2 linked regions of the Drosophila melanogaster genome follow. The protein of the gene in region 2 interacts with the protein of the main gene of each other region in a pairwise test. Each region holds a gene or a part of one and is shown on either strand. Other genes may lie near its edges. The genes, in order: Tpc1 and CG10068.

Region 1 (3,926 bases), 3.8 Mb from region 2:
CAATCGCCGACACAGCCCTTGTTGCATTCCTGTATCCCTTGCTGGTGTCCTGGGCAATCAGACGAGTGCGGATGACGTCCAGCGGCGTGGATATGATCACTGCTGCTCCTCCGGCCGCAGCGCCGCACAGGAAGTTCGATAGATGCTGATGATCCGCCAGATAGCTGGTCTGTTTGGCCATCAGGCTGAGCTGCTCGTACGTCCAGAACTGACAAATGCCGTACATTATGCTCAGCACTTGGGCAGGATTGTGTCCCTTCCAGAAGGCCAACATTCCCTCCTCGCGGTATATGGTTTTCACCGCCTGTCCGATGGATGTGTATTTGGAGGTAAGGGCTCCTGGTCCCTCCTTGGCGGCGTTCTTGCCCAGCGGCTCCACCTGCAGCTGGAAGCGGATCTTTAGCACGTCCAGCGGCTGGCAGGTGGAGCGCGTAATGGCCGCCGAAAGTCCACCGGCCAGCATTTGATGCAGCTGCTCCCGCGTACTGTGCTTGCGTCGCGGAACGGGAGTTGTGGTTGTGGTCGCCTCACTGGTGGAGCCTGTGGTTACCGCCATGTCTGCGTCGGAGCTACCTTTGGTTTTGCTTTTCGTGTGCGTATGTTTGCTCGTGCGGATTTCACTTTTATTGCTGCGACTGCCAACTTTTCAATGGCATTTCTGAAAATAAAGAAACGCAGACAGGTGGAGACGTTATTACAGTCGGAACTATGTAGATGCAACTATTAACTCGGACTTAGCAACTTCTATGAGGCTGGATCTAATAGGTATAGCTTATATATTATCATAAAGAATTTGTTTTGAAGGTTACTTGTAATTTACTTGACTCTTGTGAAATTCAAGGTAGATGCTGTTAAAAAGAAAGCTTAAGATTGTTTCTTGATAAAAATGAAATATGCTAGGTTTTACTGGTATCAAAGATGGAGTTTTCGAAAATCCGACTTAGCAAAGCTTGCCTGTAGCTTTCATTCAAAACGTTTTAGAGGTGCGGCAGGGCGCAAACTTCGACTTGTTTACACACATTCATCAAAGTCGATGGACAAATTGTTGTGTACAAGTGCGTAGACAGGAATTGGGAAATAGTAGGAGTGGAATTCATCTGAGGATGAGACTTACAAGTATCATGCTCCACGGAGCGTGCGTATGTCTCTGCGATTACTTCACTATTATCTCGGTCGGTTATGGCCAATTGCCCGCCAATTCGCAGAGCTCCCAAGTTGACTCCAGGTTCAAACGGCCGTTCATTGATTGACAATAGCTCGGTTGGTATTCGGGTTTATCAGCGATTTCACTTTTTTCCGCTTTTGTTGTTCGATGTCTCGGCGACCGTTGTCCAGTTCCCAAAATTCCGATGCTGCTGCTCAGATAAAGAGACAAAGGCATTGGCAACACGCTCGATGGTGATGATGATGATGTTGCTGAATGTCCAGAGCAGCGCACTACAATCTGAGCTCACCTGGAGCAGATGCGTCCGTTCGCGGGCAGAGTGCAGCAGTGACTGCGGCGCCGACGCTTCTTCATTACAGGCGGCGGCCCGTGGATTGCGTCAAAACTTTCTTTTCGCCAGACTTGTAATAGCGCCGCCGTTGAGATGCCGTTGCAGTTGTGTCAATCCCCTGCTGCCGCTGTCCAAGTTGGCCGCTTCCCACTTCCACAAACTGGTTTTCCGAATTCAAGACGCGCTGCTTCAAACCTCTACGCAACAACAACAAAACAAACTAAATTACGTCGCCAAGTGCACGGAATCAGCTGTTCGAGCCGCTGGCGATGAGCTTTTAGCGAACAGCGATGGCAACTATCGGCTATCGTGGTTGACAACAATAGTAAGAAAATAGCTAGAAGCTAAAATTCAGTTTTAGGGTTTTCTTAATTGGGAACATAAATATTTTTTAATAGTAAGCATAATTCCTGAAACCAGATCACTATGTTTATACTCGAGTTAATAAAAGGCCATTTAGGATTAAAATGATACTAACTATCGATATTAATATAGCTGTCACATGCACAGCGTTGCCACTTATGCGGGCTTTCTTGTATATTTAAAAATGCCTTAAGGTGTAGAATACAAAATGGTTAAGTTATGGTCCCTATTTCCACCCAATGCCGCCAGTGGAAGAGGCGGCTGGAGCACTAGGCGTGGGTTTATAGTCTGGTGGTATACTGAATCCAAGCACCTCAAAATTACCGCCTGGCGGAGAAGCAACAGGTGTGTTGGTCGTATATGGTGGCGATTTTTGTGCGGCTGGCGACACAGGATTTGGTGTGAATTTCACAGGCGTAGCAGGATGCGCCTCCTCTGCCTTGGGATAAAGACTGGGAAAATTAGCTGCCCCGTTTGAGCCATTGGTTCCAGGCTTCCCATCAAATGGATAGACGGGATATCTTGGCTTAAAGGTGTTGGACTCGAATTGCTCATCGCTGACGTCCTCCTGAAAGTTGGGTGAGCCTAAGCCGGAGAAACGTCGATTAATAACACTTTCGATTATGCTTTCTTTAGTGCAAAACCCACCTGGATGAGAGGCACCACTGGGCTGGGACTTCTCCGCCCCGGGCCCCTTGTCATCAGCACTTCCCAGCAGCGGCACTGTGCCAATGGTTATTGGAAAGTCCATGACCAAGTCGCCACCACCGTGCAGCTTGAAGGTCTTGGCGATGAATCGCAATGTGTAGCTAACTCGAATGGGATCCTTTTCGCTTTGCGTGGATGGAGTAGTTGGCGGCACCGTGAGGAACTCATCGAACTTGGCCTTGTTGTGCTTCAGCACCTCACCGCAGTGCTTGTCCGCCACCCGAGATTCGGTTACCTTCAACTGCTCCTTTGCGCCCGATGAGTTGGCTCTATATGAGACGTTCTTGATCAGACGCACCTTCACGTCCATACATTGGACATCCGACTGGTTGTCCAACACCAGATGGAAATGAATCTTCTGGCCGGGGACGTAGGCAGAATAAGAGGTGCTCACGTCCATGATCATCGGCTTGTGGGCACCGAAAATGGAGCCCCACCAGAAGCTCTTCGACTCCAAGCGTTGGAGGGGTTCCTAAGGGAAGTGCGCTTCATAAGGTTATTCAGTTTGGAAGAACAACCAAGACTACATACCTTATACTCGAGCCGCCTATTAAGATCATGTGGCAGGATCACCGTGAAGCACTGCTTAAATGTGTTGTTGTAGCGAACCGCGCGATCGATGGTTAGGGTAACCTCGTGCTTAATCTGACCATGAGCACCATTGAATGAGGTGGGTGCATTGGGCGGAATGGTAGCCCGGAAGGGAAAGACGTACTTGCCGGTGGGCAACTCCAGCTGCGAGCCACCGGCCTGGCCGTAAACCGGCTGGTCAGTGCTGTAGTAGACCTCGGTGGTGGTGTGGGTCACCAGGGACTTGGTCGTCTTCCCATCCTCTCCCACTCGCTCCTCGCTTTCCTGCCAACGCGTCTCGCCGTATCCATTTATGGTTATAAAGATCGCTGCAATTGGATTAATTTGTCTGTACTGCCGGGTATGTAATTCAATTATGCATTTAGTTTAATTGCCATTGACCTTGGACCTTTTGTGTGTTTCGGATGTAGAATTGTATTGGAAAATTGCTCAGCTACAAACAACTGTCTTTGTTAATGAACTAACAATAATTTAATCAGAAGCATAAAAAAAACGAATGCTACCTAATAAAGTTCACCATCAAATTAAAGCGCTGCTAAGGCTCGACTATTTGATACCCTAGGAAATATTTGATTATTTGAATTTGAACCGATGGCTAGGGTCCACTTAGCTTGCTAATGGGATTTGTATAAATTTATATATATATGTATATCTGCATGAATTACGCCTAATTGACCCAAAATGCTACCTATACACTACAATTTAAAGGTATTGGCACGAACGGGCTGACCAGTAACTGAATCAAATATCTAATAATACAAACAGCGT
Region 2 (3,926 bases):
TTGCCTGCAAATAAAGATATACAAAAACTTAAGTGGTGGATATTTATTTGTATGCAAGACACTCACCGTCGTGCAACGTTCCCCAGAGTCTTCCGTTTTCCATCCGCATTCTCAATGCCTTATCGGTCAGCCAGCTAGCTAGCAAAGTATAGAAGCAACCGCGTCCAGTGGTGGTCACTAACTGAGCGATACAGGTTTACGACTAGGCAACATATATTTTTAAATGGAAGCTTTAAAAACCTAGCACATAGACGCCATCTAATCTAATCGCATGGGCACGCGAGTTTTTAGATGATACCGTCAACGAAGCGAACTTAATAGAGCACTTTAAAATAATCAGAGATATGCAACGCGCATTTAGTCTTAGTTGTACAATCGTAACATTGCAATTGCACGCTTTAAGCTTGATAAACAAATAAAAGACCTTATTTACAAATTTGTTTATTTACCCACAACTCTTTTAACTATAAATTCGCTTGTATAAATAAAAAGTTATCGGTACTCTTATATCATTCTGTATACAAAGCCTTTTCCAATTTTACCTCGGGCTCCATGAGGACTGTGGCTTCTTTAATTTTTTTCCGAGTATCTGATGCACTTTTATGCCTGAGATTTTTGTAAACTCGGAACGCCAGTCTGATTTCAGCGACGTAGTCATCTCTAAAATATTCTACCTGCTTTTGAGCTTCTGAAATTTAATGAATTTTAATTTAAAAAAGAAGTCATATATGTATATGTATGTGCTATAAACAAAGCGTTGTTGAAATTTCCAAACTCCTTGAGATGTATTTTATTGTGGATGCCGTCAAAATTGAAATCAACCAAAAAGTCTAGGGCGAGTATAAGATGAAATTGTTTTTTGAAACCTCCAGGTCGGGGTGACCCACCGAACCACCGGGTTTCAAAATGTTTCGCATGGTTTGAATCTAGGTAATAGAAAACACTTTATAAAGAATGCTCAAACTGAATGTTTAAATTTACTTAAATCAATGATTTGATGGGATCATTCATTTCCTCTTCCATCTTCTCTATTTGTTCCAAGTTCTTTAGTCGAAATAGTTGAGGTGACCAGCCTCCCGGTTCAGCAGGACTCATCATGTGTCGCATGCTACTGATGGAAAGTATTTGAGGTCCTGGAGAATCAGTTGGTTGAGCCGTCAGTTGGCTGGAAACAGGAAAAATTTTAACAATACCAGAAAAGTTCAGAAAACTCAATATATCAAATATATCAAAATCAATATCGGGGCGAAGAACGTAATTGGAGTTTCAATCAATCCGTCCAATTCTGTCAAATTTATGAATATAAATACGAACAAACAGAGTTTGCTTACACTATTAAGTTCTTAGTAAGCAATTAGGATTATAACAGCAGTGTGACCGTTTGTTGAGCAGAATGTTAAGTAAATAGTTGCAGAAGCATGTGAGGGGGACTCCATCCTTTTCGAAAATCTATTTTCAATTATAGAACTATATGTAAAACGATTAGAATTAAGGCATAATTAAAGTGCCTCTTTAAAGTAAAGAAAACTTCAGAATGTTATCAAGAATACCTCAAATGCCGTCCATATTTCCGCTATTTACAACACTGCCTGATCAGCTGTTTGGTTTTTTTTAATAATACATTGGATTTGTTATTGTTGCGAGTCAATCATAAAAGCTTTCTAAAGACAACTCTCAAAAGTGCAATATAGTAGATAGAAACATAAGGCTGTGATCAAAAGCCAATCCTGATGTGTTGCCCTGGCAACCGGGCGCAAACAAACGAAATCGGGAAATCTAATTAGTTCTCTTCGCCGCCTTAGTAAAATGTTTATTCTCGACCGAATACTGCCTTTTATTTTTAGCTATATAAGGCCCTTTATAAAGTGGTTCCTGCACGCCTTCACCAGGCTCTCGGAGCTCCAGAGGATTTGCTATGGAGCGAAGGCCGGAGCCAGCCGAACCAGCCAGGTGGAAAGGTCCCTCACATTGTCCAAAAGGCCGCAGATACGACGACTTGTACTTGACCTTGATGAGGCGGCGCCATATGTGAGCAACGCGGAGCTGCTGGATTTCGGTTAGTCCAAGGAATAGTATAATCTCTGTGCACAAAGCACCATAATCATTACAAGCTTACACTAAGTTAAATATTATTAATCATTACCCAATACTTTCAGCTCCTCGCGCTGCTCGCATTGTGATGCAGGCGAAACGCATCAAGAACAATGTCCACCCGGATTTTGCTCGGCTCTTCGGCACATGCGTGACGAGTATCTGGGGCTACCGCAGACTGATGCATCAGGTGGAACAGCTGCGGGCGGAGAAATACGACTCGGATAACCTCGACCACGAGCAAAAGCTGTTGCGATTGTGGCAACTGCTGATGCCAGACACTCCCCTCACCGGTCGCGTGACCAAACAGTGGCAGGACATCGGCTTCCAGGGCGACGATCCGAAGACGGACTTTCGGGGAATGGGCATGCTCGGGCTAGAGAACCTTCTCTACTTTGCAACTGCCTATAACGACGCCGCCAAACATGTCCTGCTGCACTCGATGCATCCCACCCTGGGTTACACCTACGCCATTGTCGGCATTAACCTCACCTCCATGGCCTTCAATCTAGTGAAAACGGGCGCCGCCAAAACCCACTTCTACAATTTGGTGGTGCAGCACAGACAGGACTTTAGCACCGTGGAGGATTTCCACAAGTTGTACTGCTATCTGTTCTTCGAGTTTGACCGCTTTTGGATGGAGAGCGACCCACGAAACATTATGGACTTCCGCGAGATTTACCAGTCATTTGAAATTACAAAACTAGAGGCCTTGCACAATGATAGCACTATTTTTAAGACCAATTTGGTTGTAGAATCCGTCTAAAAACACGAATAGGTCAATTAATGTGAAAATGAATTTGTATCTCGCTGTATCTGAATAATTTCTAACTCTGACGATATTGGGAATTGATTGAATCAGATCAGGCTGACCATTTTTGTAAATACATGTTTAGAGTGGGGCTAAATAAAATAATTATCTTGTCATTTTTCAATTTAAATTATCAATTCATTTCGCTTCTAAATCACTTTGTAATAAAAAAAAAAGGAATCCTAAAATAAGTATCCAAATACGACAAGCCCTTTTAATTTTTGTATAAATGCAGATTTTATGCGTTTATTTGAGAGCCATATATAATGTATATTTGTATATGTATTCATATATATTTGAATGCAAGTATGTAAATCGTTAAACTAAGCCTGGAATGTCACACAATAATACTTTAAATTCAAGTCGGAGATTGCCCACTGAGACAGAATAAATAATAATTTAAATATCACGCAAAAGCATAAAAACTAAACGAAATAAAATCAGTAGAGATTGCACAAGAAAATATTTTGACGACTAAAGCCTATTTGGTAATGCCATAAGAATGCTCAAGTCAAATCCCGATGCTCAATAGAGCTTGCAAGCTAGTTTTTGGAGTATCCATATAGATAGTATTCGTTGGTCTAGCGATAGAACTTGACTTCCGCCTCGACACAGTCCTTGAGCAGTTCGTCCAGCTCGTCACTGGCGTGATCCTGCAGAGAGAAATAGTTATTTAGCTCGTCCACGCAGGAGAGCTCCAAGCTGCGCAAGTGCTCCAAGGCGGCCGGCTTGCGTTGCGAGTGTAGCTTGTGCAGCAACGTCAAGTCCGCTTCCGCTTGCACTTGGGTTAGCGGCGAGATCCTCGGATTTGGGGCAAAAACGAACGGCTTAAACACAGACTCGGCGGCATTGGGCGTCCCGGTGAACCAATGGCATGAGATTCCCTTCACCGACAGCACCGAAACGGTAGCCGCCCTCGAGCTGCTCGCATTACTGGCGGATCGCAGCGTCTCGAACATGTCGTGCTGGGTATATGTTCCATCGCCAGCTGGCTTGGGACCACACCAATCCACTGCCGGGGCCT

The links.
Region 1: the proteins of CG10068 (region 2) and Tpc1 interact in a two-hybrid assay, tested with the Drosophila melanogaster proteins (one large-scale study listed by BioGRID).

The regions. Positions count from the first base shown.
Region 1 is NT_033777.3:10,880,449-10,884,374, forward strand, and holds the start of Tpc1 (thiamine pyrophosphate carrier protein 1), read right to left. Parts: upstream 1,741-3,926; 5' UTR 1,115-1,740; intron 659-1,114; 5' UTR 557-658; coding exon 1-556. Other genes in the region: CG14696 (uncharacterized protein), read right to left, coding at 2,086-2,444, 2,508-3,039, 3,099-3,466.
Region 2 is NT_033777.3:7,125,703-7,129,628, reverse strand, and holds CG10068 (uncharacterized protein), read left to right. Parts: upstream 1-1,601; 5' UTR 1,602-1,806; coding exon 1,807-2,056; intron 2,057-2,156; coding exon 2,157-2,857; 3' UTR 2,858-3,358; downstream 3,359-3,926. Other genes in the region: CG31248 (uncharacterized protein), read right to left, coding at 1-4, 67-109; CG10098 (uncharacterized protein), read right to left, coding at 3,484-3,926.